Linked DNA regions of Anolis sagrei. The main gene of each other region encodes a partner of the protein of the gene in region 2 in a complex. Links are inferred from orthologs where the notes say so. Each region holds a gene or a part of one and is shown on either strand. Other genes may lie near its edges. The genes, in order: TGFB1, ITGAV, ITGB8 and ITGB6.

Evidence for each region.
Region 1: the proteins of ITGAV (region 2) and TGFB1 are in contact, whole or in part, in a crystal structure (PDB 5FFO), measured with the Homo sapiens proteins. The link is inferred for Anolis sagrei from reciprocal best matches to the Homo sapiens genes ITGAV and TGFB1. Residues at the interface, in NP_002201.2 of Homo sapiens: Asp178, Asp180, Phe207, Tyr208, Gln210, Ala245, Asp248; in NP_000651.3 of Homo sapiens: Gly242, Arg243, Arg244, Gly245.
Region 3: the proteins of ITGAV (region 2) and ITGB8 are in contact, whole or in part, in a cryo-EM structure (PDB 8TCF), measured with the Homo sapiens proteins. The link is inferred for Anolis sagrei from reciprocal best matches to the Homo sapiens genes ITGAV and ITGB8. Residues at the interface, in NP_002201.2 of Homo sapiens: Tyr48, Phe51, Trp123, Leu141, His143, Gln150, Glu151, Arg152, Pro154, Phe184, Gln186, Phe189, Pro204, Trp209, Asp249, Tyr251, Tyr254, Arg275, Arg278, Thr279, Gln301, Met302, Ala303, Tyr305, Phe308, Pro328, Leu329, Met331, Ser335, Asp336; in NP_002205.1 of Homo sapiens: Ser197, Pro198, Ile202, His203, Pro204, Arg206, Ile250, Asp251, Thr252, Pro253, Thr287, Ser288, His289, Leu290, Ala291, Leu292, Asp293, Lys295, Leu296, Gly298, Val300, Pro302, Glu321, Ser324, Leu325, Gly326, Gln327, Glu330, His349, Trp350.
Region 4: the proteins of ITGAV (region 2) and ITGB6 are in contact, whole or in part, in a crystal structure (PDB 9CZA), measured with the Homo sapiens proteins. The link is inferred for Anolis sagrei from reciprocal best matches to the Homo sapiens genes ITGAV and ITGB6. Residues at the interface, in NP_002201.2 of Homo sapiens: Tyr48, Phe51, Lys72, Trp123, Leu141, His143, Gln150, Glu151, Arg152, Pro154, Asp178, Ala179, Phe184, Gln186, Phe189, Pro204, Tyr208, Trp209, Asp249, Tyr251, Tyr254, Pro274, Arg275, Arg278, Thr279, Met302, Ala303, Tyr305, Phe308, Pro328; in NP_000879.2 of Homo sapiens: Ser183, Pro184, Phe185, Lys187, Thr188, Thr189, Pro190, Ile236, Asp237, Thr238, Pro239, Asp273, Ser274, His275, Phe276, Gly277, Met278, Asp279, Lys281, Leu282, Ala283, Gly284, Val286, Pro288, Glu308, Thr311, Ile312, Gly313, Gln314, Ile316.

The regions. Positions count from the first base shown.
Region 1 is NC_090034.1:98,784,299-98,791,404, forward strand, and holds the start of TGFB1 (transforming growth factor beta-1 proprotein), read right to left. Parts: upstream 3,085-7,106; 5' UTR 2,311-3,084; coding exon 1,884-2,310; intron 1-1,883. UniProt on the Homo sapiens protein: Transforming growth factor beta-1 proprotein: Precursor of the Latency-associated peptide (LAP) and Transforming growth factor beta-1 (TGF-beta-1) chains, which constitute the regulatory and active subunit of TGF-beta-1, respectively.
Region 2 is NC_090021.1:185,344,970-185,352,685, reverse strand, and holds the start of ITGAV (integrin alpha-V), read left to right. Parts: upstream 1-4,620; 5' UTR 4,621-4,709; coding exon 4,710-4,873; intron 4,874-7,716.
Region 3 is NC_090026.1:94,433,918-94,441,045, forward strand, and holds the start of ITGB8 (integrin beta-8), read right to left. Parts: upstream 3,006-7,128; 5' UTR 2,422-3,005; coding exon 2,295-2,421; intron 1-2,294. UniProt on the Homo sapiens protein: Integrin alpha-V:beta-8 (ITGAV:ITGB8) is a receptor for fibronectin. It recognizes the sequence R-G-D in its ligands.
Region 4 is NC_090021.1:200,288,062-200,296,185, reverse strand, and holds the start of ITGB6 (integrin beta-6), read right to left. Parts: upstream 3,095-8,124; 5' UTR 2,677-3,094; intron 1-2,676. UniProt on the Homo sapiens protein: Integrin alpha-V:beta-6 (ITGAV:ITGB6) is a receptor for fibronectin and cytotactin. It recognizes the sequence R-G-D in its ligands. Internalization of integrin alpha-V/beta-6 via clathrin-mediated endocytosis promotes carcinoma cell invasion.

The DNA.
Region 1 (7,106 bases), on a different chromosome or scaffold from region 2:
CTTCCAAAATCAGCAAGATATAGTGCCTTTAGAGCATTGTTTCTCAAAACTTCCTAATGCCGCGACCCCTTAATACAGTTCCTCATTTGGTGGCGACCCCCAACCATAACATTATTTTTGTTGCCACTTCACAACTGTCATTTTGCTCCTGTTATGATTCATCATGTAAATATCTGATATGCAAGATGGATTTTCATTCACTGAACCAAATTTGGCACAAATACCCCATAGGGTTGGGGGGGGGGGTTAATTTTGTCATTTGGGAGTTGTAGTTGCTGGGACTTATAGTTCACTTACAACCTGAGCATTCTGAACTCTGACATTGATGGAATTGACCGAACTTGGCACACAGATCACTGGACAAAATTTGGCACAAATACCCAGTACACCTATATTTGAATACTGGTGGAGTTTTTTTTTTTGGGGGGGGGGGTCGGTTGATTTTGTCATTTGGGAGTTGTAGTTGCTGGGATTCATAATTCACCTACAATCAAAGAGCATTCTGCACTCCACTAATGATGGGATTGAACCAAACTTGGCACACAGAACTCTCATGACCAACAGAAAACATTGGAAGAGTTTGATGGGCATCGATCTTGAGTTTTGGGTGTAGGTGAACAAAATCAATCCCCTCCCCAACCCATCTAGTATTCATCGATCTTGAGTTCACCTACACCCAAAGAGCACTGAGGACTAGAACAATGATGGATCTGGACCAAACTTGGCACGAATACTCAATATGCCCCAATGTGAACACTGGTGGAGTTTCGACAAAATAGACCTTGACATCTGGGAGTTGTAGCTGTTGGGATTTATAGTTCACTTAGAATCAAAGAGTATTGTGAACTCCACCAACGATAGGATTGGGCCAAACTTTCCACACAGAACCCCCATGACCAACAGAAAATACTGTGTTTTCTGATGATCTTAGGTGGCCCCTCTGACACCCCCTTGCGACCCCTTCAGCAGTCCCAACTCCCAGGTTGAGAAACACTACTTTAGAGCATTTAGACTTAGAATTTGTTTTTCTGCTTCTTGGCAGAAAGGGGTTGTACTAGATAGCCCATGAGGTCTCTTCCAACTCTATGATGCTATGATTCTAAATAAACATCCATGTACTAGGATAAAGCATAAAATCACCCAATATAAGTGTTCGGGCTAGTTTGTTTTCCCTAACTTCAGTTTGTGTTAGTAGGTAACAAAGAAACAAGGTAACCCCACATTGCTTTTCCTTCTCCACCTCACTGTCCTCGGCTGTATCTATTGCTTTCCCAATGTTTACAAAGAAAATATCTGAAACTTTCCATCGTGCAGATAACAGGCACTGCCTTTCGACTTCCATCCCTTGCAAATCCCTAAGAGTCAATGTTCCCATTTTACAGATGGGGAAAATAAACAAGGCCAAGAAACTTAGGAAACACCAGAAAGTTTTTCACTTAAGGTCACAACAAGTGTCTTTTCCAGCCCATGTATCACAGTTTAATTACTCTATTCCAGCTCAAAATATGAGGTGTGCTGAGGTCCAATGACCTGAGGTCCATGACATCTTCTAGTAGCCTGACCTGGGAATACTTTATTAACTTTTTAACCCAATCCTCCTGAGCTTCAAAAACTAAATAGTTTATGCCCTCCTATCCAGAAAGGTGTTGCTTTCTGGATATTACTTTTTGGATTACAACCCCATAAAGTCCACACAACTGTCAGAGCCAAGTGTGGGTTTTGTAGTCCTAAAGTACCTTTTCCAATCTCTCCGAATGTGGAAGCCTAGCAAAATGTGTCCATTTCCTGCCACCGGAGAGAAAGATCAGCAAATAACTACTACTAGGTCTTCTGTAACGCATGGACCCCACTTCCTCTCCTCCCAGCCCCAGCCCAGGCCTCACCGTGGTTTAGAGGCAGCATGTTGAACCTGTGGATCTCCTTGGCGTAATACTCCTCCTGAGATGTCTCCTTGGGGTCTTCGACCACCTGCTCCCGGATCACCTCCAAGGTGCTGTTGTAGAGCGCCATGATCTCATCGGACAAGACCCTGGAGTCTGGGTCTTCCACCTCTGGTGGGCTGGAGAGCTTGAGCTTGCTGAGGATCTGGCCTCGGATGGCTTCGATGCGCTTGCGCTTCATCATGTCCATGTCCAGGGTTTTGCAGGTGGAGAAGGCCAAAGCGGAGCAAAAGTGCTCCAAGGCCAGGAGCAGGAGGAAAAGCCAGCCCACGGCCCGCCGATGCATGCCAAGGGCCCCTGGGGCACGTCGGGCATCGCTCTGCCAGCCGCAGCCTCTTGGCACCAACTGCCTCATGCTTCCTCCCACCATCTCACTTCTGCTCTTTAGCTCGGCCCCCAAAAAGGCAAAGAGAAAAAAGAAAACAAAACTTTGCTTGACGTTTACTCACTTCTTTTTAAGCCTCTGTCATCTGAAGAAGAACCTTGTTTCCTACCAATGTGCCACTTGCCATGAAGTCCTTCAAAATATATCCTAGTTTTCTTTTCTCACTAGAGTTTCTTCCTACTTGGAGTGGATCAACCATCCAGGGTGGCACTTTCTCAAAGGTGACAGGAAACTCACCTTGGCACCTCGGCTGTCCATGTGTCCGGCTGCTAGATGTACCCAGGTTCACCCTTGGCACCAGACCACGGCCGCAGCCCAAATGTCCATCTCCCAGAGAAGGCCAACACACCTTGTCTCTCTGGTTTGAGTCAAGAAAGGATCTTTTCTTAGCCAGTCAAGGGGCTCCAGCTTTACCCAAGACAAGAGGTGCCCTGAGTTCCCAGGAATGAGGCACCACACTTGCTTTGGGGACTGGGGCCAAATCCAGGGTCAAGATTCGGGAGGTTCCTCCAGGCGGCTGTGCTCTGGCTTTGCTGCTGTTGCCTCCTGCCGCTTCTTCGCTCCCCAGAGCCAGCTGGCTCTTCTTTCTTCCTCGGCAGGAAAGGCTGTAATTTTACCACTCCTGTTGGGACTTGCTGACTGAGGGCTTGGAGGTTTTTAAAGCGGGTTTTTTTCTCCTCTCCCCAGCGCCAGCTCCACCCAGGAAATGAAGGAGGGAGTCAGCAGGGCTGTATATAACTTCTTCACCAGGGGAGACTCTGGCAAAAGCAGCAAGGCTCTGGCCTGTCTTTCTGCCTGCTCTTCCTGCCTATCCTTTCTTTCTTTCTTTCTTTCTTTCTTTCTTTCTTTCTTTCTTCTCTTACCTTCTTTTCCTTGCACAGCCTCTCCATCTCTCCATACATCTTTACTCACCTCATTGTTGAATCAACCATATCTCTGAAAGTTTTGTTTCTCTTTCCTTTTTGTTTCTTTCATTCCCTTTCTCTCACTGTTGTCTTCTTTCCTCTGCACAGCCTCTCAATTTCTTCATTCATTTTTCTTTATCTAATTACTGAACTATCTACTTGCAAGTCTTTTTCTTTGTTTTCTCTCTCTCTCTCTCATTCACTCATCTTCTTTTCCCTGCATAGTCCCTCCATCTGTCTATTGCTCTTTATTCATCTCAATGATGAACCAGTCTTCTCCCTCAAGTCTTTCTTTCTTCCTTCCTCCCTCCCTTCCTCCCTCCCTTCCTTCCTTTTCTCTCTCAAACCAATTGTCTCCCTCAAGTGTTCTTTCTTTCCTTCTGTCCTTCCTTCCTTCTTTCCTTTGCTCTCTCAGAATCACTTCTCCCTCAAGTCTTCCTTCTTTCCTTCCTTTTCTTTCTCTTAGTACCAATCATCTCCCTTAAGTGTTCTTTCTTTCCATCCTTCCTTGCTTCCTTTTCTTTCTCTTAGTACCAATCTTCTCCCTCAAGTATCCCTTCCTTCCTTCCTTCCTTCCTTCCTTCCTTTCTTCCTTCCTTCCTTTTCTTTCTCTCAGAACCAATTTTCTCTCTCAACTGTTTTTCCTTTCTTCCTCCCTCCCTTTCTTTTCTTTCTCGCAGAACCAATCTTCTCCCTCAAGTATCCCTTCCTTCCTTCCTTCCTTCCTTCCTTTCTTCCTTCCTTCCTTTTCTTTCTCTCAGAACCAATTTTCTCTCTCAACTGTTTTTCCTTTCTTCCTCCCTCCCTTTCTTTTCTTTCTCGCAGAACCAATCTTCTCCCTCAAGTATCCCTTCCTTCCTTCCTTCCTTCCTTCCTTCCTTCCTTCCTTCCTTCCTTCCTTCCTTCCTTTTCTTTCTCTCAGAACCAGTCTTCTCCCTCAAGTGTTTTCCTTCCTTCCTTTCCTTTCCTTTTGTTTCTCTCAGAACCAATCTTCTCCCTTTCTTTCTTTCTTTCTTTCTTTCCTTCCTTCCTTCCTTCCATCCATCCATCCATCCATCCATCCATCCATCCATCTATTCATCCTTTTTCTTTCTCTCAGAACTGATCTTCTTCCTCAAGTGTTTCCCTTCCTTCTTTCCTTCCTTCCTTTTCTTTCTTTCTCTCTCTTTTCCTTCCATATCCTCCTCTCTCCATTCACCTTTCTTCACCTCATTGCTGAGCCAACTATTTCCCCACAAGAGATCTTGCTTGCTTGCTTGATTTTTCTCTTTCTTTCATCTTCTCTTCGATGCATAGCCTCTCCAGCTCTGTTCATCTCTCTTTACCTTTTTGCTGAACTATCTCTTAGGAAGTCTTCTTGACTCTTCTCTTCACTTTTCTCTCTTCCTCTTCTTTGCTTTCTCTTTTGTTTAAAAAATGATTCAGCGCAAGGCAGAAGCGATGGGCCAAACTCAGGCGCAGCCTCTGCTTTCGCTTTGAGAAGGATCTTTTTTATTACAGGAGATTAGATAACGCTTTCAGTGGCTCTTCTAACTCGGCGGCAGCTTCTGTGCTCAGGCAGCTGAGGAAGGGGCTCCTGGACTAGATAACGCCTGCTTCAAGTCAAGGGAAATACCTTCAGGCTGGAAGGCCTGGATTCAAGTTTCGCCTCTGCCCATGACTCATGTCAGTAGCCCCGGGGGAATGTTTCCTGAGCTCACATGATATGGCTTTGTTGTGGTCATGTCACAATGAGGACCCAGGTGGGGTTTTTTCCTACAAGTTGCATTTCCTGAAAATACACCACACTCATTTTAATACTTTCGTTGTCATATACTTTCAAGTCATTTCTGACTTATGGGTTTTCTTGGCAAGATGTGTTTTGAGTGGGTTTTCCTTTGCCTTCACCCTAGATCTCCCACTCAAAAGTGCAATATCACCCAGACTCTCTATACATCGCTATCACTATTATTCCTGATCCATTCTGAATAGTATTTGTGTATTCAAAACACATGGCCTGAAGTTGGTCAAGCTAGGCCATATTCTGCAGATAGTAGCTGACATTAAGAGAACAAGGACCCATTCACTGCTGTCTCACAAACCCTTGGTCAAAAGAAATATCCAAATGCTATTCCATTCTAAGCAATTACAACATCATATAGATCAGTGGTTCTCAACCTTCCTAATGGCACAGTTCCTTATGCTATGGGGACCCCCAACCATAAAATTATTATGTTGCCACTTCATAACTCTAATTTTTCTATTGTTATGCATTGTAATGTAAATATCTGATATCAGGATGCATTTTATTCATTGGACCAAATTTGGCACAAATACACAATATGCCCAAATTTGAATACAGGTAGGCTTGGGGGGGGGATTGATTTTGTCATTTGGGATGTATAGTTCACCTACAGTCAAATAACATTTTGGACTCCAGCAATGATGGAATTAAACCAAAATTGGCACATAGAACTCCCATGACCAAAAGAAAATACTGAAAGGGTTTGGTGGGCATTGACCTTGAGTTTTGGAGTTGGAGTTGTAGTTCACCTACAACTGTGGACTCGAACAATGATGGATCTGGACCAAACTTGGCACAGATACTCAATATGCCCAAATGTGAACACTGGTGGAGTTTGGGGAAAACAGGCATTGACATTTGGGAGTTGTAGTGGCTGGGATTTATAGTTCACCTACAATCAAAGAGCATTCTGAACCCCACCAATGATAAAATTGGGCAAAACATCTCACATAGAACCCTCATGACCAACAGAAAATACTGTGTTTTCTGATGGTCTTTGGTTACCCCTCTGAAAACCCCTCGTGACCCACCCAGGTGTCCTGACCTCCAAGTTGAGAAACACTGATATAGAAATAAGAATGTGTGCTGGTTATATATCTAACATTTCACAGGTAAAAACCAAGCAACATCCAAGGTGAAGTAAAGGTATAGGTTTCCCCTGACATTAAGTCTATCCACAAGCATGTGGGCAATTTCAACAGGAAGGAGGAAACCATGAAAATGAACAAAATCTGGCTACCAGTACTAAAAAAAACCCTAAAATTACAACAGCAAAACAACAGAGGGGAAACAATCAGGCACATCTAATCACCTCTCAACAAAAGATTGCCCCAGGCACTGCCAGACCATAAAATGCTAATCAAGGTGGTCAGTTGAAACATTCACACCTAGCTCCAACAGATAAGAGTTCTTTGCCCCACCGTGGTCATTCCACAGATACATAAACCCACTTTCCTAGTTCCAAAAGACCTCACTGCCTCTGAGGATGTTTGCCATAGATGCAGGCGAAATGTCAGGAGAAAATGCCTCTAGAACACGGCTATATAGCCTGAAAAAACCTACAACAACCCAGTGATTCCGGCCATGAAAGCCTTCGACAATACATTAAGCCAAGTCATTTTCGACTCTGGGGAGTGGTGCTTATCTCCATTTCTAAGCCAGTGTTGTCCATAAAATATTTATAATATTATAATGTAATGCAATATAATACTACTACTACTAACAATAACAATAATATGATATTATAATTATATATTTATATTACATGTAATATTACCAATAATATTACAATATAATGGTATAGTACAATATAGTAATATTTAATACTGATATTGTACTATGCTACTAACTTAATATATTGTATGCATATATATCTTGTAAGCCGCTCTGAGTCTCCTTTGGGGGGGGGGGACTCAAGCCCCGCCTTCATCACAAGTGAGATTGGCGGGGACAAAGAGCAGGGCCTTCTCGGTGGTGGCCCCTCACCTATGGAATTCACTCCCTGGGGAAATTAGATCATCGTCATCCCTCCTTTCCTTTAGAAGGAAATTAAAAACATGGATTTGGGACCAGGCGTTTGGGCAATCTGGCAG
Region 2 (7,716 bases):
ATTCATTAAATTTGTACTTTCGATGCAATATCTGACGTGCTGGCACAGCCTGTGCTAAAAACTAAAGAATCAAAACTTACCAAATACTTTTTAAATTTTCATTTTGTAAATCTTGGAAGCCTTCCAAAGTCAGTTTCTGTTTCAGCACAAGGAAGCAAAGCAAAGCCAAAAAGGCTGCCTTTCCTCTTTAAATTAATGGCATCTCGCCATTAGGAGGGGGAAGCAGCAGTGATAAAGCAGAGTTTGCTGGGAAAGACTGAGAATTCAAAAGGCCCTGCCTAAACTACATTTCCCAGAATTCTGCTCAGCATCAGTAAGCCCCAATCAGGATAGGGGAGAAATGTGTCCCTCCCTCCATAGCAGCAGCCAGACAGAGTTCCAATGAATGGCTGAATCTGCAAAGAGGAGGACTGACTAATACTTCTAGTAAGTAAATCTCTGCTGGACTGGGAAGAAATCCCTAAATGGAAGTTCTATTGTTAATATGGGAGACATTTAATGAGCTAGCTATTGTGGCTTTTTAAAAAAGCACGTTTTTGTCAACATTTTTTTAAAAATCCCTAAAATTAGTAGATGTATGAATATTTCTGAAAGTTGCGGTGGGAGATGATCCCCCATTATTTTGTGACATTGTAGAGAAAATTCAAGGAGATAGCTCTTCTAGTTTTTAAAATGCTGTTTATAAAACTTTGAAATTTCCCCAAAAATCCATGGATAAGTGAAACGTTCTGAAACCTGATAGGCTAAAAGTGGTAAATGTGTTTTAGCATTATAGCAAGTTTCACCCGAACAGGTGTAAAAATGAGAGAAAGAAGCCCATGAGGTTTCCCCATTTGCGCAAATATATAATGAAAAATTAATGAATTTCCTTTTTTCTCATTATAGTAATGACATTTTCAGTAACAACACTTTAGAAACACTTTAGAAGCAAAATGCTAGTGGCCCTAGTTTTTTAATTACTTTTGAAACATCGATCACACAGCCCTAGTGGCTACACCCTGAAGATGTCTAGACTGCCCAAGTCCTTTCATGGGCAGCAACTGGAATGACTTCAGCTTCCCTGAGAACATGACTAAACTGCGTGGAGACTGTGTGGGAGGCAAGGAGCTGACTCATCAAAACAGGGGCTTTCATGCATTCAGCTGCTTCCAACATAGATAAAAAACAATAAGGGTGAAAAGGAAGCACATTCAATGAAAACACTCCTGCCCACACAAAAATGTGGGTTGCAGGTAATTCATCAGATCGACTCAGTAATAATTAATCCCTGTGTTTCCCTCTATGTTTTCACTAACATTTGAACAAACATGGCACTTGAAGATCTTTTTGTTTTAGACCTATGGTGACCCTATCACAGGGTTTCCTTGTTCAGAAGAGGGTGGCTTTCTACTTCCTCTGAGGCTGAGAGAGTGTGACTGACTAGTCCAAATTCACCCGTTGGGTTTCATAGCTGAGCCATCCCCCAAGAAAATTCCAAAAAGCAAATCTTGATTTTGCCATTTTATACAGTGAATAATATTTTACTACAGAATTAGATATATGGGCAGCCCCCACGTTATAAACATCCAACTAACAAATAGGAAGTGAGAGAAATCGTGGATTTTGGGTATCCTGATCTGTCTCCTGAATCCTTGGAATCCTGAAACCTTGAATCTTTGGACTGGCTTTTGACTACGGTATAGACTCTTGATCCCTGGACTTTGCTCATTGAACTCTCGGCCTTTGACTACGGTGTAGTGTTTGCTATCAGTTTTTGTTTTGTATTCTGCGGCTTAGTGTTATCTTTGTGTTATATTTTGTACTATTAAAACAGCCAGAAAGTGCTGTTTTAATTAAAATGTTTAACACAAACTGGGTATTTGTTTGGTTCATCTCTGCCTAAAGAACGACAATGACTTTTGAATCATATTTTTATGGATCACACATCCCTACTGTAGTATGAATGCAGTTGGACCTCACTTGAATTGCCAGGGTTCAATACAGAAAATCCTGGTATGTGTAGTTTGACAAGTCTACCCAGGTACTCATATGGGGATGTCAGCTCCAGCTCCTGCCAACCTAGCAGTTTGAAAACATGCAGATGTGAGTAGATCAATAGGTACTGCTCCGGAGGGAAGGTAACGGTGCTCCGACACCAACACCAAAATACAACACCGCCTGAGCTCTGTGAGTGCAGCATTTTCCCGAATGAAGCAGAGAGTGTTTGAGGACCGAGACATCCGTAGGGATACCAAGGTGCTTGTCTACAAAGCTATTGTCCTCCCAACCCTGCTCTATGCCTGCGAAACGCGGACTGTCTACAGACGTCACATGCAACTCCTGGAATGATTCCATCAGCGCCGCCTCCGGAAAATCCTGCCAATCTCTTGGGAAGACAAGCGGACAAACGTCAGCATGCTGGAAGAAGCAAAGACCACCAGCATTGAAGCGATGGTCCTCTGCCATCGACTCCGCTGGGTCGGCCACGTTGTTCGGATGCCTGACCACCACCTTCCACAGCAGTTGCTCTATTCTGAACTTAAGAACGGAAAACGAAATGTTGGAGGACAGGAAATGAGATTCAAAGGTGGGCTCAAAGCCAACCTTAAAAACTCTGGCATAGACACTGAGAACTGGGAAGCCCTGGCCCTTGAGTGCTCCAGCTGGAGGTCAGCTGTGACCAGCAGTGCTAAAGAATTCAAGAAGGCACGAGTGGAGGGCGAAAGAGGGCGAAAGAGGGCGAAAGAGAGAAACGTGCCAGGAGGAAGGTGCATCAAGCTAACCCCAACTGGGACCACCTTCCACCTGGAAACCAATGCCCTTACTGTGGGAGAAGATGCCGGTTAAGAATAGGGCTCCACAGCCACCTACGAACCCACAAGGAAACGCATAATGGAAGCCCATCTTACTCGTCCAACGAGGGATCGCCTAAGTAAGTAAGTAACGGTGCTCCATGCAGTCATGCTGGCCAGATTTCCTTGGAGGTGTCTACGGACAACGCCTGCTCTTCGGCTTTAGAAGAGATGAGCACCACCCTGCACAGTTGGACACAACTAGACTTAGTGTCAAGGGGAAATCCTTTACTTTTACCTTAAAGAAGGACACGTGGATGGAAGTATGCAGTGGGCATCCAGTTTAAAAGCTTCCAAGGAAGAAGCCTCTACCACACTCGGGGCAGAGAGTTCCACTGCTGAACAGCTCTCACAGTCAGAAAGTTCCTCCTAATGTTCAGATGGAATCTCCTTTCTTGTAATTTGAAGCATTTTTCCATTGCGTCCTAGTCTCCAGGGCAGCCGAAAACAAGCTTGCTCCCTCCACCCTATGATTTCCTCTCATGTATTTCTACATTGCTATCTTGTCTCCTCTCAGCCTTCTCTTCTGAACACTAAACATGCCCAGCTCTTTAAGCCACTCCTCATAGGGATTATTCTCTAGCCCCTTCATCATTTTAGTCGCTTTCCTCTGAACACATTCCAGGTTGTCAATATCTCCCTTCAATTGTGATGCCGAGAATTGGACACAGTATTTCAGGTGTGGTCTAACCAAGGCAGAATACATCAGACTGGCAACAAAGATCCGCCTAGTCAAAGCCATGGTATTCCCTGTAGTAACCTACGGATGTGAGAGCTGGATCTTAGGGAAGGCTGAGCGAAGGAAGATCGATGCTTTTGAACTGTGGTGTTGGAGGAAAGTGCTGAGAGTGCCTTGGACTGCGAGAAGATCCAACCAGTCATCCTCCAGGAAATAAAGCCCGGCTGCTCACTGGAGGGAAGGATAGTAGAGACAAAGTTGAAGTACTTTGGCCACATCATGAGGAGACAGCAAAGCCTAGAGAAGACAATTATGCTGGGGAAAGTGGAAGGCAAAAGGAAGTGGGGCCGACCAAGGGCAAGATGGATGGATGGCATCCTTGAAGTCACTGGACTGACCTTGAAGGAGCTGGGGGTGGTGACGGCCAACAGGGAGCTCTGGTGTGGGCTGGTCCATGAGGTCACGGAAGAGTTGGAGACGACTGAACGAATGAACAACAACATCATGTCTCTTCTCAGCCTTCTCTTCTGCAGGCTAAACATGCCCAGCTCTTTAAGCCGCTCCTCATAGGGCTTGTTCTCCAGACCCTTGATCATTTTAGTCGCCCTCCTCTGGACACATTCCACCTTGTGAACATCTCTCTTCAGTTGTGGTGCCCAGAATTGGACACAATATTCCAGGTGTGGTCTAACCAAGGCAGAATAGAGGGGTGGCATGACTTCCCTGGATCTAGACACTAGTCTCCTATTGATGCAGGAATCCTAGAAGTTGCAGTAAAATGAGGCAACAGAGAAGGCGAAAGACGCCCATAAGTATTGAGCCAGGCTGTGAAAGAAGAGCATGAATGTAACAGTGGGTGCAATGGGGCGCCAAAGAGTGGCAGATTCGCCTCTGGAACTTTGGGCCAGAGGGGGAAGCCACGCCCCCTTTGGAAGCCACGCCCCCTTTGGACCAGCCTCCTCCTCCTCTCCCTCCCTTCAGCGCGGAGTCGCAGCTCTAGGAACAAAACAAAAAGCAAGTCTCATCCTCGCCGCGGATTGGTCGCCAGGGCTGGGGAGCGCTCTTTCTCTCTCTCTCTCCCTCAGTCCCTGGCGGTGATTATTCCTCCTCCTCCCGTTCCTCCTCCTCCGGCCTGGCGGGTTGGCGAGGCGACTTTGGGCCACTTTCCGCGTCTTCCTCTGGGCTGCTGCCTGCGCGCCATGGCCGGCCTCCCTTGGCTCCCTCTCCTCCTCCTCCTCCTCTTCTCGGCTTTGCCGCCCGGCCGGCCTTTCAACCTGGACGTGGAAAGCCCCGCCGTTTACTCCGGAGCGGAAGGCAGCTACTTCGGCTTCGCCGTGGATTTCTTCGCCCCGGATCGCGCCTCGTAAGTAGCGCTTCCAGAGCCCGTCCGCACTGGAGGCTTGCTGCGGTTTCACGCCGCTTGGGACTGCCATGGCTCAAGACTAAGGGAGTTGCATTCGTCATTGCATAAAGTCTTAAAAGAGTGGGTGGCTGTGAGTTTTCCAGACTGTCTGGCTGTGTTCCAGAAGCATTCTCTCCTGACGTTTTGCCCACATCTATGGCAGGCATCCTCAGAGGTTGTGAGGTCTGTTGGAAACTAAGAAATTTGGGTTTAGGTATCTGGGGAATAATGTCCAGGGAGGGAGAAAGAACTCTTGTAATTGATCACCTTGATTAGCATTGAATGGCCTTGCAGCTTCAAAGACTGGCTGCTTCCTGCCTGGGGGAATTCTTTGACTTAAAAGAGTGCATTCTTTCCTGACATTTCGCCTACATCTATGGCAGGCTTCCTTAGAGCCTGTGAGGTCTGTTGGAAACTAGGAAAATTGGGTTTATATATCTGTGGAATAATGTCCAGGGTGGAAGAAAGAACTCTTGTCTGCTTGAGGCAAGTGTGAAGGCTGCAATTGATCACCTTGATTAGCATTTAATGGCCTTGCAGCTTTAATGCCTGTCTGACTGCTGCCTGGGGGAATCCTTTGTTAGGAGGTATTAGCTGGCCCTGATTGATTCCTGCCTAGAATTCCCCTACTTTTTGAGTCTTGCTCTTTATTTACTGTTCTAGTTTTAGAATTTGTGTTGTCGAAGGCTTTCATGGCTTTTCACTGGGTTGCTGTGAGTTTTCTAGGCTGTCTGGCCATGTTCCAGAAGCATTCTCTCCTGACATTTCGCCCACATCTATGAAGTTGGTAGCTCTTTTGGAAACTAGGCAAGTGGGGTTTATATATCTGTGGAATAATGTCCACTGTGGGAGAATGAACTCTTGTCTGCTTGAGGCAAATGTGGAGGCTGTAATTGATCACCTTGATTAACATTTAATGGCCTTGCAGCTTCAAAGCCAAGCTGCTTCCTGCCTGGGGGAATGGCATACTCTCCTGACATTTTCCCTGTATCTATCGCAGGCATCCTCAAGAGGTTGAGAGATCTGCTGGTGTCTCTCCAGACGGCATTCTCTCCTGACATTTCGCCTGTATCTATGGCAGGCATCCTCAGAGGTTGTGAGGTCTGTTGGAAAATGAGAAGTATAGATCTGTGGAATAATGTCCAGGGTGGAAGAAAGAACTCTTGTCTGCTTCAGGCAAGAGTAAATGTTGCAATTAGCCACCTTGATTAGCACTGAATGGCTTTGCAGCCTCAAAGACTGGCTGCTTCCTGCCTGGGGAAATCCTTTGTCATACAAGAGTGCTGGTGTCTTGCCAGACGTACAGATTCCAGGATTACATTGCAGTTAAAGTGGTGCCAAACTGCATTCATTCCACAGTGTAGACGCATCCATATTAGAGGCTTTAAACGGTCCAGTTTCTTTCTTTTTTTTTCAGTTTTGGTGATGGGATGTTGGACCCAAGGCAAGTTTCACGGGAGGGAAGAAATTGGAAAGCTCACCTCCATTCTGAGAGTTTGGAAGGAAGGAAGGAAGGAGAGGAGGAGGGAGCCTCCTTAAAATAAATGAATGGAGTTCAGTGTGAGTCTGGAAGAAGGGATTGGGGATGAAACACAAAGCCTCCCTTAAGAAAGAAGGCACAAAAAGTAGGTTGCTGTGACTTTTCCAGGCTATATGGCCATGTTCTAGAAGCATTCTCTCCTGACATTTTGTCCACATCTATGGCAGGCATCCTCAGAGATTGTGAGGTCTGTTGGAAACTAGGCTTTGAAGCTGCAAGGCCATTCAGTGCTAATCAAGGTGACTAATGGCAACATCCACATGTGCCTCCATCTGACAAGAGTTCTTTATCCTACCCTGGACATTATTCCATAGATATATAAACCCCACTTGCCTAGTTTCCAACAGACCACACAATCTCTGAGGATGCTTGCCATAGATGTGGGTGAAATGTCAGGAGAGAATGCTTCTGGAACATGGCCAGACAGCCTGGAAGATTCACAGCAACCTAGTGATTCCGGCCATGAAAGCCTTTGAGAACACAAAGCACAAAAAAGCCCTGCCGTTAGGGTGCATCAGTTTGACACCACTTTAACTTCTCTGGCTTCATTCTATGGAATCCTGGGATTTGTAGTTTGTCAAGGTCTTTAACCATCTCTGTCAGATAATGCTGGTGTCTCACCAAACTACAAACTCCTTATGAAGAGAAAATGCAGGGTAAAGTAAAGATTTCCCCTTGACATTGAAGTTAAGCCATATCTGACTCTGGGGGGTGATGCTCATTTCCATTTCTAAGCCAAAGAGCCGGTGTTGTCCGTAGATGACTCCAAGGTCATGTGGCCAGCATGGCTGCATGGAGCATTGTTACCTTCCCGTCCGAGCGGTACCTATTAATCTACTCATATTTGCATGATTTCGAACTGCTAGGTTGGCAGAAGCTGGGGCTAACAGCAGGAGCTCATCCTGCTCCCTGGATTCGAACCACCAACCTTTTAGTCGGCAAGTTCAGCAGCTCAGCAGTTTAACCCACTGCGCTACTGGGGGCTCAAAGAGGTATAGATGATGATGATGATGATGATAATACAAACCCTAGGAAGCATTGAGCCAAAGCAGTTTAAGTGATGTCAAACTACATCCATTATACTGTAGATAAGATATAATTCAAAGGTATTTGCTGGGATTTGCTTTGAACTGACATTCATAGGATCACGAAAGTGAGCAGGCAACTTGAAGGCACATACATACTCAAGGCTAAGGTCTTAATTTCAGTGTCCCTTTCCATTCTTTCCCACTGAAAGGAAGCCAGATTGCTTTTACCAACCAGA
Region 3 (7,128 bases), on a different chromosome or scaffold from region 2:
GGGCCGCACTTCTAGAATCCTCCAGCCAGTATAGCCCCTGGAGGATTCTGGGAGTTGTGATCCAAAATAACTTTCTCAAGCTCTAGATCAGACAAAACACTTGCAAAATATCCCAACTTTGATCTCTAAAATCTCTGGGAAAGAAACCTGTATGATGATGGAGTTATTCAACCCAAAGTTGGGTTACTGTGAGTTTTCCAGGCTGTGTGCCCATGTTCCAGAAGCATTCTCTCCTGACATTTTGCCCACATCTATGGCAGGCATCCTCAGAAGTTGTGAGGTCTGTTGGAAACTAGGAAAGTGAGGTTTATAATTTGTGAAATGTCCAGGGTGGAAGAAAGAACTCTTGTATGTTTGAGGCAGGTGTGAATGTTGCAATTGGCTACCTAGATTAGCATTGAATGGTCTTGCGGCTTCAAAGCCTGGCTGCTTCCTGCCTGGGGAAATCCTTTGACAAATTTCAACAGAAAAGAGGAAACCAGGAAAATGAACAAAATCTGGCTACCAATATTTAAAAACTGTAAAATCAAGACAGTAAACAAACAACAACACTCAGATAGCAGACATGAAACAATCAGGGCCAGCTAGCAGCACCAACAAAGGATTCCCCAGGCAGGAAGCAGCCAGGCTTTGAAACTGCAAGAACATTCAATACTATTCATGGCTGGAATCACTGGGGTGTTGTGTGGGTTCTGGGCTGTATGACCATTTTGTAGCAGCCCTTTCTCCTGACGTTTTGCTTGCATATGTGGCTGGAATCTTCAGGACAAATGTTAAACAAGTGTAAAGGATGCAATTGGCAAGTCAGGCACTTAAAATCTAGCTTGTTACTTGCACTCTTTACAATTACACTCTTTACACTTGTTTCACAGACAATGGTTCTTGTGTTGTCAAAGGTTTCATGGCTGGAATCACTGGGTTGCTCTGAGTTTTCTGGGCTGCATGACCATGTTCCAGAAGCATTCTCTCCTGACGTTTCACCCACACCAATGGCAGGCATGCTCAGAGGTTGTGAGGTTTGTTGGAAACTAGGCAAGTGAGGTTTATATATCTGTGGGTTGTCCAGGGTGGGAGAAAGAACTCTTGACTGCCTGAGGCAAGTGTGAATGTTGAAATTGGACACCTTGATTAGCATTTAATGGCCTTGCAGCTTCAAAGCCTCACTGATTGATGCATGGGGATCATTTGTTGGGAGGTGTTAGCTGGCCCTGATTGATTTGTGTGGATTTCCCCTGTTTTTTGAGTGTTGTTTTTTATTTACTGTCCTGATTTTATCATTTGGGAGCTGTAGACTCTGGGATTTATAGTTATCCTACAATTAAAGAGCATTCTGAAGCCCACCAATGATGGAATTGAGCCAAACATGGCACACAGAACTCCTATGACCAAGAGAAAATATTGGAAGGGTTTGGTGGGCATTGATCTTGAGTTTTGGAGTTGTAGTTCACCTACATCCAGAGAGCACTGTGGACTCAAACAATGATGGGTCTGAACCAAACTTGGCATAAATACCCAATATGCCCAAATGTGAACAATGGTGAAGTTTGAGCATATAGACCTTGACATTTAGGAGCTACAGTTGCTGGGATTTATAGTTCACTTAGAGCCCCTTGAACCCCACCAACGACAGAATTGGGCCAAACTTACCACACGGAATCTCCATGACCAACAGAAAATACTGTGTTTTCTGATGGTCTTTCATGACCCCTCTGACACCCCCTTGTGACCCCCCAGGGGTCCTGACCCCTAGGTTGAGAAAGCCTGCTGTAGGTGATCCCTCTGGCTATGATCCTACTCTGATCCTACTCTAATAAATACTCAATATGCCCAAATGTGAACACTGGTGGAGTTGGGAAAATAGATCTTTACACTTGGGAGTTGTAGTTGCTGGGATTTATAGTTCACCTACAATCAAAGAGCATCCTGAACCCCAACTGGGTCAAACTTCCCACACAGAAACCCTATGCCCAACAAAAAATAATGTGTTTTCTGATGGTTTTGGGTAAGGACCTCTGAGGATGCTTGTCATAGATGCAGGCGAAACATCAGGAGGGAATGCTTCTAGAACATGATCATGCAGCCCGAAAAACCTACAACAACCCAGCCTACCGGAATTATGGGAGTTGAAGTCCAAACACCTGAAGGGCTGAAGTTTGCCCATGTCTGGTCCACCCTCTCAGGAGCCCCGGCAGTTCCAAGTGGTGTTCAACCCGCGTGGATGCTCGCAGGGTCAGGTGCATGCTCGGAGTTCCAGGGGAAACAAGAAGGAGGCAGGATTGAAGGGCCAGACTTACTTGGTTGCCCCCAGGCCGGGGCCAGCGCGGTGAGGAGGCGAGCGATGCCCAGGATGGGTCTGGAAAGAGGGCCTTGCGGGAGGGAGACCAGCCCCAGAGACAAGGCGGACAGGAGCGGGAGAAACATGGCCCGAGAAGCGGCCGAGTCCGCGCCGTCGGGAAGAGCAGCAGCAGGAGGAGGAAGAGCAGGCAGAGTCGGAGGCACAGGTAGGAGGAGGAGGAGGAGCGGCACTGCCTCCGCATGTCAGGTCCAGCGTGGGCAGCCCTCCGGGGAGCCGCCAGCCCCGAGGCCAGGAAGGGCTTCTCTCCCTGCGAGGCGCGCCATCCGCTGGAGGGGACAAGGAAGAAGGCGCCCGTGCCTCCTTGGCGCCCGGAGAAAGGACAGGCAGCGGAGGCGGGCGGAGGGGGCAAGGAGGCGGTCCCTCGCCTCGCCTCCCCTTCGACTCCTTCTTCGTCTTGTGTTGTTGTGGTGGTGCTGGCTCGGCTTGCTTCGGCGGAGTTTCCCGTCCCGATCTGGCCCGCTCCCTCCGAAGGGGATGCTCTCCCGAAGAGAGAAAGAGAGAGAGGGAAAGGAAGGCGAGGGGGAGGGAGGGAAGGCGAAGGGGCGAAGGGGGAGGAGTCCCCTGGCTTTGTTTTGCGGGCTCCGGAGTGCCGCTGGCTCTGCTCTGTTGCTGGGCGGCTGGCGCGATTGTTCCCGAAGGGAATGCGGCTCCGGGGGCGTCTGCCTGCGTGTCTGCTTGGGGGGAGTGAGGGGAGGGGAGGGGTGGCTGGCCCAACCGCCGCGCCAGAGAGGCAGACCCTGGCCTCTCCACGCTGCCTCCTGTCCCAGCGCGGCGGGACCTCCTTGTCCCCCTTCTCTGAAAGGGCCAGGAGAAAGGACCCCTTCAGAGGGCTGCGGGCATCTGGCACCTTGAAGGCTAGAGAAGACGGCCTTCTTAGCTCGCCCTCCGAATCTCCTCATCATCCTTCATCATCTTCTCATGTATTTCAACCCCATAGAGGTTTTTCCCACTTCTTCACACTAGAGCAGTGGTACCCAACCCTTTTTTTGACTAGGGCCCACTTAACCGGAGGCAACTTTGACCAGGGCCCAGTTGACCAGGAACCACTTTGACCAGGGGGCACTTAACCAGGGCTCACTTTGACCAGGGACCACTTGACCAGGGACCACTTGACCAGGGGCCACTTTGACCAGGGGCCACTTAACCAGGGCTCACTTTGACTGGGGGCCACTTAACCAGGGCTCACTTTGACCATGGCCCACTTGACCAGGGCCCACTTTGACCAGGGGCCAATTGACCAGGGACCACTTAACCAGGGCTCACTTTGACCAGGGACCACTTGACCAGGGCCCACTTTGACCAGGGGCCAGTTGACCAGGGGCCACTTTGACCAGGGACCACTTAACCAGGGCTCACTTTGACCAGGGGCCAATTGACCAGGGGCCACTTTGACTAGGGGCCACTTTGACCAGGGGCCACTTAACCAGGGCTCACTTTGACTGGGGGCCACTTAACCAGGGCTCACTTTGACCAGGGACCACTTGACCAGGGCTCACTTTGACCAGGGACCACTTGACCAGGGCCCACTTTGACCAGGGGCCAGTTGACCAGGGGCCACTTTGACCAGGGACCACTTAACCAGGGCTCACTTTGACCAGGGGCCAATTGACCAGGGGCCACTTTGACTAGGGGCCACTTTGACCAGGGGCCACTTAACCAGGGCTCACTTTGACTGGGGGCCACTTAACCAGGGCTCACTTTGACCAGGGACCACTTGACCAGGGCTCACTTTGACCAGGGACCACTTGACCAGGGGCCAGTTGACCAGGGGCCACTTAACCAGGGCTCACTTTGACCAGGGACCACTTGACCATGGCCTACTTTGACTAGGGCTCAGTTGACCAGGTACCACTTTGACCAGGGACCACTAGACCAGGGACCACTTGACTAGGGTCCACTTTGACTGGGGCCCACTTGACCAGGGCCTAGTTGACCAGGGCCCACTTAACCAGGGCCCACTTTGACCAGGGACCGCTTTGACCAAGGAATACTTGACCAGGGCCCACGCTGACCAGGGACCACTTTAACCAGGGCCAACTTTGACCAGGGCCCACATTACCATTGCCCACTTGAACAGGGCCCATTTAACCAGAGACCACTTTGAGCAGGGCCCACTAGACTGGGGCCTAGTTGACCAGGGCCCACTTAACCAAGGCCCACTTTGACCAGGGACCAATTGACCAGGGACCACTTTGACCAAGGAACACTTGACCAGGGCCCACTTTGACCAGGGCCAACTTTGACCAGGACCCACATTACCATTGCCCACTTGAACAGGGCCCACTAGACCGGGGTCCTCTTGCCCGGGGCCCACTGTGACCAAATACAAAAGCCAGCACAGTGATCTTGTTTGCTGTATACTAATCTTGTTATGTATCTAATAATAATAATAATAATAATAATAATAATAATAATAACAACTTTATTTATATCCTACCACCAGGTTATCAATCTAACAACTGAAAACCAAATTGCCTTGCATAAGTACATGTGGATATATATACCACTAAAGAGAAGATTTTACTCAAACAAGTTTTTTTGGCTCTTCTCTGGAAGATCATACTTTTACAAAAGGTTATGATTTTCAAATGGTTGTGAATGCCATTTTTCTCCAAAGGGTTATGGAGATTCTAGTTTTCCAAAAAATAAGGGGCCTCATAACTTAACTAGCACAGGGCCTCATTTGTCCTCAGTCTGGCACTGTTCAAACCTGTTGCCCAAAGCCCAAATCCAGTCATCCGTATCATTTTATGTGCATCATCATTAGGCATCATGGCTACAGCTGATGGGAGTTGTGACACAGTAACATCTGGAAGTCTTCAGTTCTGTTTAGTCCAGATAGTGAGGTTTGAATTTAGATACAAGGCTTGTGGATGTGACATCTGACTTTAATATTTCCCTGACCTTTTCCCCAACCTCAGAGCCACAAGTGCTATTGGGATGCAATTCCCATTCTCCCCAGTCTGCAGCGTAGATAACAAAAATTGATCAGAGTTGTTGTTCAATAATGTCTGGGGATACAAAGTGGGTAAAAACTAAAGGGCACCAACCAATGTTTAAAGAAATTATAGTTGGCCCTCTATATCCATGAATTCGCTGTCCATGGATTCAATGACCCTTTGAAGGCAACCATGAGGCTGATGTGGCCTTCAATGAAAATGAGTTGGAAGTCCCTGGCATCCTGGTTATCTCAAGGCTGGGTTTTTGCGAGGTGTTGTACATTGGGGGACCTCTGTACCAAGTTTAGAAACTTTAAAACATGGCATTTAGATTGGTTATTGGCACATCTGGAGTGATCATATTACATAAATATTAAGATGGATCATTCATTGCCTATTTATATGTATACAAGGCACAAAATGCTGGTTGTGACCTTTAAAATCCCACATGGTTTGAGTCCAGGTTATCTTCTCCCATATAATCCTCTCCATACACTCTTTGCCCTCTTATGCCAACCATAGGTTTGTTGAGTTAAATTTTTTGGAACTCCAGGTACATTTTTATGTGTAACTTCAACCATTTTTGTTAAGTTTTGGATAGCATAAGGAAGGATTAACACCCCAGTAAAATTTGTTTTGCCGTCTTTGTCCCTGTTCAAAAGATTGAACACTTTCCATCTCTGTGACAATTAATTTTGAAAGTTTTCAGTTATTGTGGAAACAAGGACTGGTGATAAAGCTCTAGTAGAGGCACCTTTTTCCCAGGATAACACTTAGAGAAGAGAATTTCCCTTCCTGGTCCTTTGTAAGTTGGATGTTTGTGACTCACGGATTGCCTGTAGTGCAGTTCAAAGCCAACACCAGGCTGCAGCAGCCACAAAATCCATACCACCAATATGAACTGCAGCATGGATTAAACAGTAAGTGGCACAAGGAAGTCCGATGGAAGCCATATAATGTGCTGCTGCTGGCCCCAGTATATCAGAGATCCAGAGCCAAATTGACTCCACAAAATGCAGAATGCACAATGAAGAATCCCAAACAGAAACTATCAAAAAAATCCCAAGAAAATGGCTGGGCAGCCGGGGGGGGGGGGGGGGGGGGGAGAGAAATGGATAATCTCTGCTGCTAATTCATATTTTCTTGTTGTTAATCCCTTCAGAGCACTGAATACCTTCAGAGCACTGAAACGCATCTGTCTGGGAAATGGGAAAAAGAACCTGCACAGCTGTTTGAGGCCAGGTTCAAGGATTAACGTAATCACCTTCTTGAACTCAAACCGGTTCTAGACTTGTCAATCTAATCACCCACACAGTGAAACCAGTTCCCCTCAAAATGGTTCCAAGCTGGATAATACTTCCAATATAGATGTGCACTTAGTTTTAACCAAACCTGAGTCTCTCCAAGACTTGGAGACAGTACAAAGGGATTGAAAGGGTCGAATTAGGGTTGTTTCACATTCTTCTTTGCTCTCCCTCTTTGTGCTTTGGATCTCAACACAACAGATAAGCAACTAACAAGTGTTTGAAAGTAGCTGGCTTGGTGAATTCCTTCTGACACTTCTCAAACATTTTTTCTCAGGCCGATAATGGACAAAACCATGTATTGTCGAAGGCTTTCATGGCTGGAATCACTAGGTTCCTTTGGGGGGTTTTGGGTTATAGGGCCATGTTCTAGAGGCATTTCTCCTGATGTTTCGCCTGCGTCTGACCTCACTACCTCTGAGGATGCTTGCCATAGATGCAGGCGAAACGTCAGGAGAAATGCCTCTAGAACATGGCCCTATAACCCGAAAAAACCCACAAGAACCTAATGGACAAAACCAATATATTC
Region 4 (8,124 bases), about 15 Mb from region 2:
GCCATACAGCCCAAAAAACCTACAACAACCCAGTGATTCTGGCCATGAAAGCTTTTGACAATAAATTTTATTTTGTTTACTTTAGGCATTTATGTGTTTAACAGGGTCCCTGAGAGAATGTACAACCGTTTAAAACAGCTAAATAAGTTGAAGCTAAAGACCTCAGCTCAAAGGCCCCTGGCAAATCCATGGGCTCCTGGCCGGGGGCAGGGAGGCATGGAGAACCTGTCGCTTCATGTCCCATATTGAACAACTTGCCTGGAACTCCATCCCACAGGGGAATCATTGCCACCCGGCTTCCACCCATTGTTGGAAAGGCAATATGGGAAAGTTCCCATGTTGCCACATCAGCCACATATGCTGCTTGCTTTCCCCTTTGTGGACAGAGCCCAGGTAGAAGTACATGTATATCATGTAATGGGTTCCATCCTGAAAAGGAAGAAGTGGTGTATGACAGGCCAAGTAGCCTGTCTGATGAGATGGCCACTGTAAGATTGAGGTATATATACTGTGTTGAGAGCCTTTTTCACAGAAAATATCACAGGATCCTCATATTAATGAGGGATGTCTTCTTGAACTTACAGTGGCAAACAGAAACATGGATGACAGAAACCCCACTGAAATGAATTACTCCCACTGGAAGTTACCATAGAATCACCCTGGGGAACCTAGGAAATTTCCAAAGAAGTATCCTCTCTAGGAATTTGCTAGATCCTCTAGGGCAGTGGTTCTTAACTGTGGACCACCAGTGGGCCTTGAGGACGGAAATCTGATCCGCGAGCCTCCTTTCTCTTTATTTATTTATTTAGTTTTATTTATTTTATTTCCACTTCTTTTGTGGCGCTTGCCACTCCTTCCCTGTCGCTGACCATGGCATATGTTCTGTATCAGAAACTAGAGCTGATGTGGTCTATACATGCAATTTTCTGAATCAGCACCCCAAATAACCAAACCGTTTCTAAAGCTGACCAAAAACTGTTTCGTAACCCTTTTGTTAGAGAGTGGTCCTTAGTCAAGTACTCCCTGGTCAAAGTGGTCCTGGTCAAGTGGCCCCTGGTCAAGTAGTCTCTGGTCAAGTAGTCCCTGATCAAAGTGGTCCCTGCTCAAAGTGGTCCCTGGTAAAGTAGTCCCTTGTCAAGTGGTTCCTGGTCAAATTGGTCCCTGGTTAAAGTGATCCCTGGTCAAAGTGGTCCCTGGTTAAAGTGGTCCCTGGTCAAAAAAAGGTTGGGAACCACTGCTCTAGAGTGACTCAAAGACAATTTTCTACAAAAGTATACCATGGAAGCAACTGGAAGACCTATACAATTTCTAGAAAGAACATATTTTGTCAAATGTGCTTAGATGAATTCACAGATCCTGGTCCTCCATGGACTTTTCTATGGATTAAAGTTAAAACAAGACACATCTCGTAGTACTATGTTTTTCAGGTGATGTGAATACAGGATGGGACTTCATCTATAATCAGTTCATTTCTCCTCCCTAGACAATTTAGTTCATAGTTTTCTTCTGTAATCCTCAGCCTAACCGCCTTGGAAAATTGGAATAGTAAAAGTAATAGATATACATTAGGGTTAGGCACATTTCTACATCCATGCCAAATAATTTCAAAACACCCTCCTTCACCACTATCTTTGGAGTGTCCATCTGTCCTCCACTGCATACCACATAGCCAGTTCACTGTCTTGGATACAGACAACATATTCCAATATGTACAACTATTGTAAGCCTGTTAAGTAACCTTTCCGAGGTATGAAGTATGGTCTGAATAAAATTATTTGCTCAAGTTAGAGTTGACCCTTTCATTCTATGGAATTTGGATAAGCATTGACTTGCTGAGTTTCCATTTATTTGACATAAATAAAAGGGACTAACACATTTATGTGCTTCATTGTAAACTTTTGGTATGTTTCTATATTACAGAGTATTGCAAAGGTAGTGGCTATGGAAAAATTAAGATATTGAATGAGACTGAATGCATTAATTATTCAAATTCAATCTTAAGGCAGTTTTCAAATGAATGAATGTAGCCAATGCTGAAAGGAATACAGGCATACTTGAAAGTCTTTTCAAAACAGGATAACTGCCTCCAAAAGCATTGAAATCACCGAGTGTTCAAGTATACCTTCTTTTCAGAAATTTCAGTGCAACTTCGATACAACAAATGTCTTGGAATTGTGCCAAAATGTCCTTTAACAGTTCATTAATGAGAACAAAGATCTAAGGTTTGCATTGATACTGAAAAACAAGTCAAATTGGGAAAATGAAATTAAGGACTGAAGACATTGCCAAATTGCACCCCATCCCATTCCAGCCTTTGAATCCACCCTGTTACTTGTTGTTCAGTAGCAAAAGCATCTGAAGGCAGTCATTCACGGAAGGCACATGCAATTCCTCAGCTGTAATATACCAGGTAAAATGGCATTAATGGCTCAAAAGAAGAAAAACGTATTAGCAGTGACTTTGGTTCTGCCAAAATAAATAGGCCAATCATCCTTTCACATCAGTTATGCAAAGAATGTTCACTGGATCAAAATAAACCAAAATAGGCTTGCGTATAAATACATTGATGGATTCATCCCTGGTGACCCGCAAGGGGAAAAAAACCCACAAAGCAACAAGAAGAAGGTGTACCTGTGCTGAGGATTAGTTAGCAGGGCACTTTATAAAAGCACTTACCTTTCAGGGTGGGCAGGACTTTCGTTTTGGAAAGTGCCGAAATGCATCCACTGCATCCATGATCCAGTGAGTGGTAGGGTTTATTTTGGTAGGGTAGATCATTTATCTGTGGCTTAGATTCCCCGCATTCTTCTATTCGCAGTCTTGAAGTATGAGAGATCCCATTTAATTTCCTCGCTGCCGGCTACACAGGGTGTGCTTTAGAAAGCGCATGAAGTTGGAAGATTTTTTTTCACAATAAAGAAACCAACACGAAGACCTAGGACTACTGAATGACAGAATGCCTGGTTGATTTACAAGTGCTTGTGTGAGAAAAGGTTAAATTTAGATTGACGAGCAAATGTGTTCACAGACTGCTGGCTGACAAATGGCAAAGCTATGCCAATATATTGCTTACGCAGGAGAAGTGGTGGGAGTCAGCGAGAGAATCTTTGTGTTAGGCGAATACATTCAAACTCATAGTAAACAAAGACTGTTCGGCTGGGCATAAGAGATGCCTGGCGGTAATACGCAAGTATACTTAAGGCCATACCTAACTGACTGAGATGACCTGGGCAAAGAAAATGCTTCTGTTTTTGTAGGCAAGTATGGAAAGATAGCTTTGTTGTGATATTGATGGAAAGATTCCTGTTGGATGAGTTTCCAACAGCCTGTGGATAAACCCCTTCCTTTCAAACTGCAATGTCTATTCCTTCTTGCTCTTGGGGACTCCAGAATAAACTCAGAACAGTGTTGCTCATTTTGTGCTGCAGATTTTGGCATTAGCTTTCTTTCATACAATCATAGAGTTATAGCATCATAGAGTTGAAAGAGACCTTGTGGGCCATTGAGTCCAACCCTCTGCCAAGAAGCAGGAAAATCGCATTCAAAGCACCCCTGACAGATGGCTACCCAGCCTCTGCTTAAAAGCCTCCAAAGAAGGAGCCTCTACGACACTCTGGGGCAGAGAGTTCCACTGCTGAACAGCTCTCATAGGAAGTTCTTCTTCGTGTTCAGGTAGAATTTCATTTCCTGTAGTTTGAAGCCATTGTTCCGTGTCCTAGTCTCCAGGTCAGCAGAAAACAAGTTTGCTCCCTCCTCCCTATGACTTCCCTTCACATATTATTTATACATAGCCCTTATCATGTCTCCTCTCAACCTTCTCTTCTGATATAGTCATGTATAAATATGTGAGAGGAAGTCATAGGGAGGAGGGAGCAAATCATTGGGAGGAGGACATCATAGAATCTTAGAGTTGGAAGTGTCATCCAGTTCAACTCCATTCTGTCATGCAGGAACACAATCAAAGCACCCCTGACAGATGGCCATCCAGCCTCTGCTTAAGAGCCTTTCAAGAAGGAGATTCCAACACGCTCCTCAAAAGCTCTTATTGTAAGAAAGTTCTTCCTAATGTTTAGGTATAATGTCTTTTTCTGCAGTTTGAATGCAGAAAACAATGCATTTTGTCAATCCATTGTTCCATGTCCTTGTCTCCAGAGCAGCAGAAAACAAGCTTGCCCGTTTCAACGTGACATATTTTCAGATGGCTATTATGTCCTCTCTCGGCCTTCTTTTTGCCAAGCTTAACATACTCAGCTCCTTCAGTCATTCTTCATAGGCTTTTGTTTCTAAACCTATGATCATTTTGTTTGTCTTTCTCTGGACACATTCTACTTTGTCAATGTCCTTTTTGTATTCTGGTGCCCAGAATCCAAAACTGGACACAGTACTCTAGATGAGATCTGACCAAAGCAGAACAGAATAATCTGTTACAGTTTCTTAGTGGTAGTATCAGATAGATATTTGGGGGCGGGGGGTTAGTTGTAGTCTGACTTTCAGTTTTGATGATAAAGGCTATAACTGCTTGCTTCATATAAGAAATCCATAATAAAGAAATACACAAATTGAAGAGTGCATCCTTGCTCTGGGCAAATGAAGGTTTGGTTACACAAGTACAGAATTTAGGACAGTCACTGTAGGCATTTTGAACTATGGGTGCATCTTTACTATATAGAATGAATGCAGTTTGAATTCTGTGATTAATGATTTGGTGAGGGAACAGCATTCTGAAGCAGAGAAGGCTGAAAACTTTGTCAAAATACGGCTTTCATGCTTCCATAGCACCGAGCCATGATTGTTAGTGGTGTCAAACTGCATTCGTTCGAGTATTGATGCACCCTGAATCTCCTGCTGGTTTGGGGATTCTTGGAACTATACTTCAAAAAAGGAAACATCTCCAATCTCTCAACTGGTGATATAGTTTCTGAATAAGAGTTTCAAACACAACCAGCACTGTGGTTTTCGTTTGTGTTTTGTTACTAGAGTTGACAGAGATGAAGGAAAATTCTACTTGCATATTTCTCCTGTGATCTATTTCACACCTGCCATCCATTTCACGCCTTCACATATTGGAACAGAGTTATCCTTCTGATGGCATTCTACTTTGGATTTGAAAATTCAATTCTCAGCTTCATTTGCCTACAAAAATGCATATATCAGGGGAACTAGTGTGTTCTTTGACCACATGTGGTACGAATACAATTATTTCCAACACACTAGTACTTCAAAAGGCTTTCATGACAGGAATCACTGGGTTGTTGTAGGTTTTTTCGGGCAATATGGCCATGTTCTAGAGGCATTCTCTCCTGACGTTTCACCTGCATCTATGGCAAGCATCCTCAGAGGTAGTGAGGTCTGTTGGAACTAGGAAAATGGGTTTATATATCTGTGGAAAGACCAGGGTGGGACAAATGCTAATCAAGGTGGTCAGTTGAAACATTCACACTTAGCTCCAGCAGACAAGAGACCTTTGTCCCACCCTGGTCTTTCCACAGATATATAAACCCATTTTCCTAGTTCCAACAGACCTCACTACCTCTGAGGATGCTTGCCATACAGGCAGGCGAAGCGTCAGGAGAGAATGCCTCTCGAACATGGCCAAACGGCCCGAAAAAACCTACTTCAAAAACCTACAACCCACTTCAAAAGTCATCAAATGAGGAGACAGCAGCTGTGAACCTTCTACATAGGATAACAGGAAATATTTTATTTTTTATTTTTGGGTGTGAGAGACATTTCATGGATGGGAGAACAAGGTAGAGTATAAAATGTAGAATCTATTTTTAAAATACATTGTTACCCAAAATTCATTGTAAGTGCCAGTGAAAATTGTAAGCACATTTTAGCATACTTTCATGACATGTGATTATAATAGTTTATTCCTCTAACCTAAGAATTTTTCTTCCTTGCCATATTTTCATATGTAATATAGTTTCTTTGGGTTATTTCACCCTATACAGATATAGTACTAAGGTTCCACTTACATTATAATGATGGCAACTTATACAAATCTGGGGAAGAGCATCCTGGCTGTGAATTCTAAATGATCTTCCCTAAATTGCATGCTTTCAGATTTGATGGTAAAGTGCTATAGCAGTGTGGTGTGAAAGGACCATTTGACTTTTCCATGAGTGCACAAACCTAATGTGTTTAACATCTGAATTGCGGACAAGAAAAGGTGTCCTATTACACCATTCTAACGGAGTTATCAAGCTGCTGTGCTGGCTGGGGATTCTGGATGTTGTTGTAAAAATAAATCAAACTTCAGCCACTACTGCAGGGTCTATTTGGCCTCAGGGCTCATGTCTGGCATTGCCCATATATCTGAGTGATAGTTTTATTACTTTCCATCACTTTGTGTTGTGGAATCATTCTGATGTAGGAGATGACGTCTGCCTTTCTAGAAAGCTTTGTATCTTCTTATTCTTTTTTTGTGTCAGAAGCAAACTGAGGCAAGTTGGGTTGTTGTAGGTTTTTCCGGGCTATATGGCCATGTTCTAGAGGCATTTTTTCCTGACATTTCGCCTGCATCTATGGCAAGCATCCTCAGAGGTAGTGAGGTCTGTTGGAAGTAGGAAAATGGGTTTATATATCTGTGGAATGACCAGGGTGGGACAAAGGACTTTTGTCTGCTGGAGCTAGGTGTGAATGTTTCAACTGACCACCTTGATTAGCATTTAATGGCTTGGAAGTGCCTGAGGGAATCTTTTGTTGAGAGGTGATTTGATGTGCCTAATTGTTTACTCTCTGTTGTTTTGCTGTTGTAATTTGTAAGTTTTTTTTAATACTGGTAGCCAGATTTTGTTCATTTTCATGGTTTCTTCCTTTCTGTTGAAATTGTCCACATGCTTGTGGATTTCAATGGCTTCTCTGTGTAGTCTGACATGGTGTTTGTTAGCATGGTCCAGCATTTCTGTGTTCTCAAATAATATGCTGTGTCCAGGTTGGTTCATCAGGTGCTCTGCTATGGCTGACTTCTCTGGTTGAAGTAGTCTGCAGTGCCTTTCATGTTCCTTGATGCGTGTCTGGGCAATGCTGCGTTTGGTGGTCCCTATGTAGACTTGTCCACAGCTGCATGGAATACGGTAGACTCCTGCAGAGGTGAGAGGATCCCTCTTGTCCTTTGCTGAAAGTAGCATTTGTTAGATTTTCTTGGTAGGTCTGTAGGTGGTTTGTATGTTGTGTTTCCTTATCAGCTTCCCTATGCAGTCAGTGGTTCCCTTGATGTATGGCAAGAACACTTTTCCTCTGGCAAGTTGCTTTTGGTGTGAGAGAATTGGCCATCTGCAAGGATGTTGCTCAGGGGACGGCTGGATGTGTTACCATCCTGTGGGAGGCTTCTCTCATGTCCCTGCATGGGTAGCTGAGGCTGACAGATGGGAGCTCACATCTCGTGGATTCATGTCTCCAGGTCAGCACAAGGGTTTAACCCATTGTGCCACTGTGTCTCCTGTATCTTCTGATGCTACAATGATTTTTGAAAATCATCATATCCTCATAAAATATAAAACTTCATAGAAAGGCACACCTGATCTCTTTATGTACAAACCTATGCATCCCTTAAGACCTGTGCACTGTAATATTAATGTAATTCAGTCCTGGAACCTGATCAAATATGGATGTTTAGCTCCTGTCAAATACAAGGCTGATCATATTTTCTACAATCATAATGCTTTAAGGCAGATGTGCCTATTTTAAGCTGATAAAGCCCTCTAGACAACATTACACTCGACATACATTAACTTAAAGCCTCCCTGAAATCCTCTGTCCTCCACTCTCTGCCGAAGGCTGTATTCCTTGGAGGTAGAATCTCAGAGGTCACATATGAGGGAATAAGTTCAGGACCACATATCCTCCAGTGTTTCACAGATAAAAACTGGGGCATGTGTGTCTAAACATCATCAGAGTGTGGTCACGATGATAAAATTATTAATGAGGAAGAATATACAGCAGTTTGTTCTTGCCTGAGTCTACAGGGCTGAGCGCTTTGCACTTGGGTCTCCATTTGTAGCAAATGAAGCAAAGAGGGAAGGTGGAAAGAAATTATGAAATCTTAAAAGAAGCTGAAAAGAAGATTAATTAGAAGTGTCCCTACCATGTTGGAACAGTTGAAGTATATGGATTATCTTC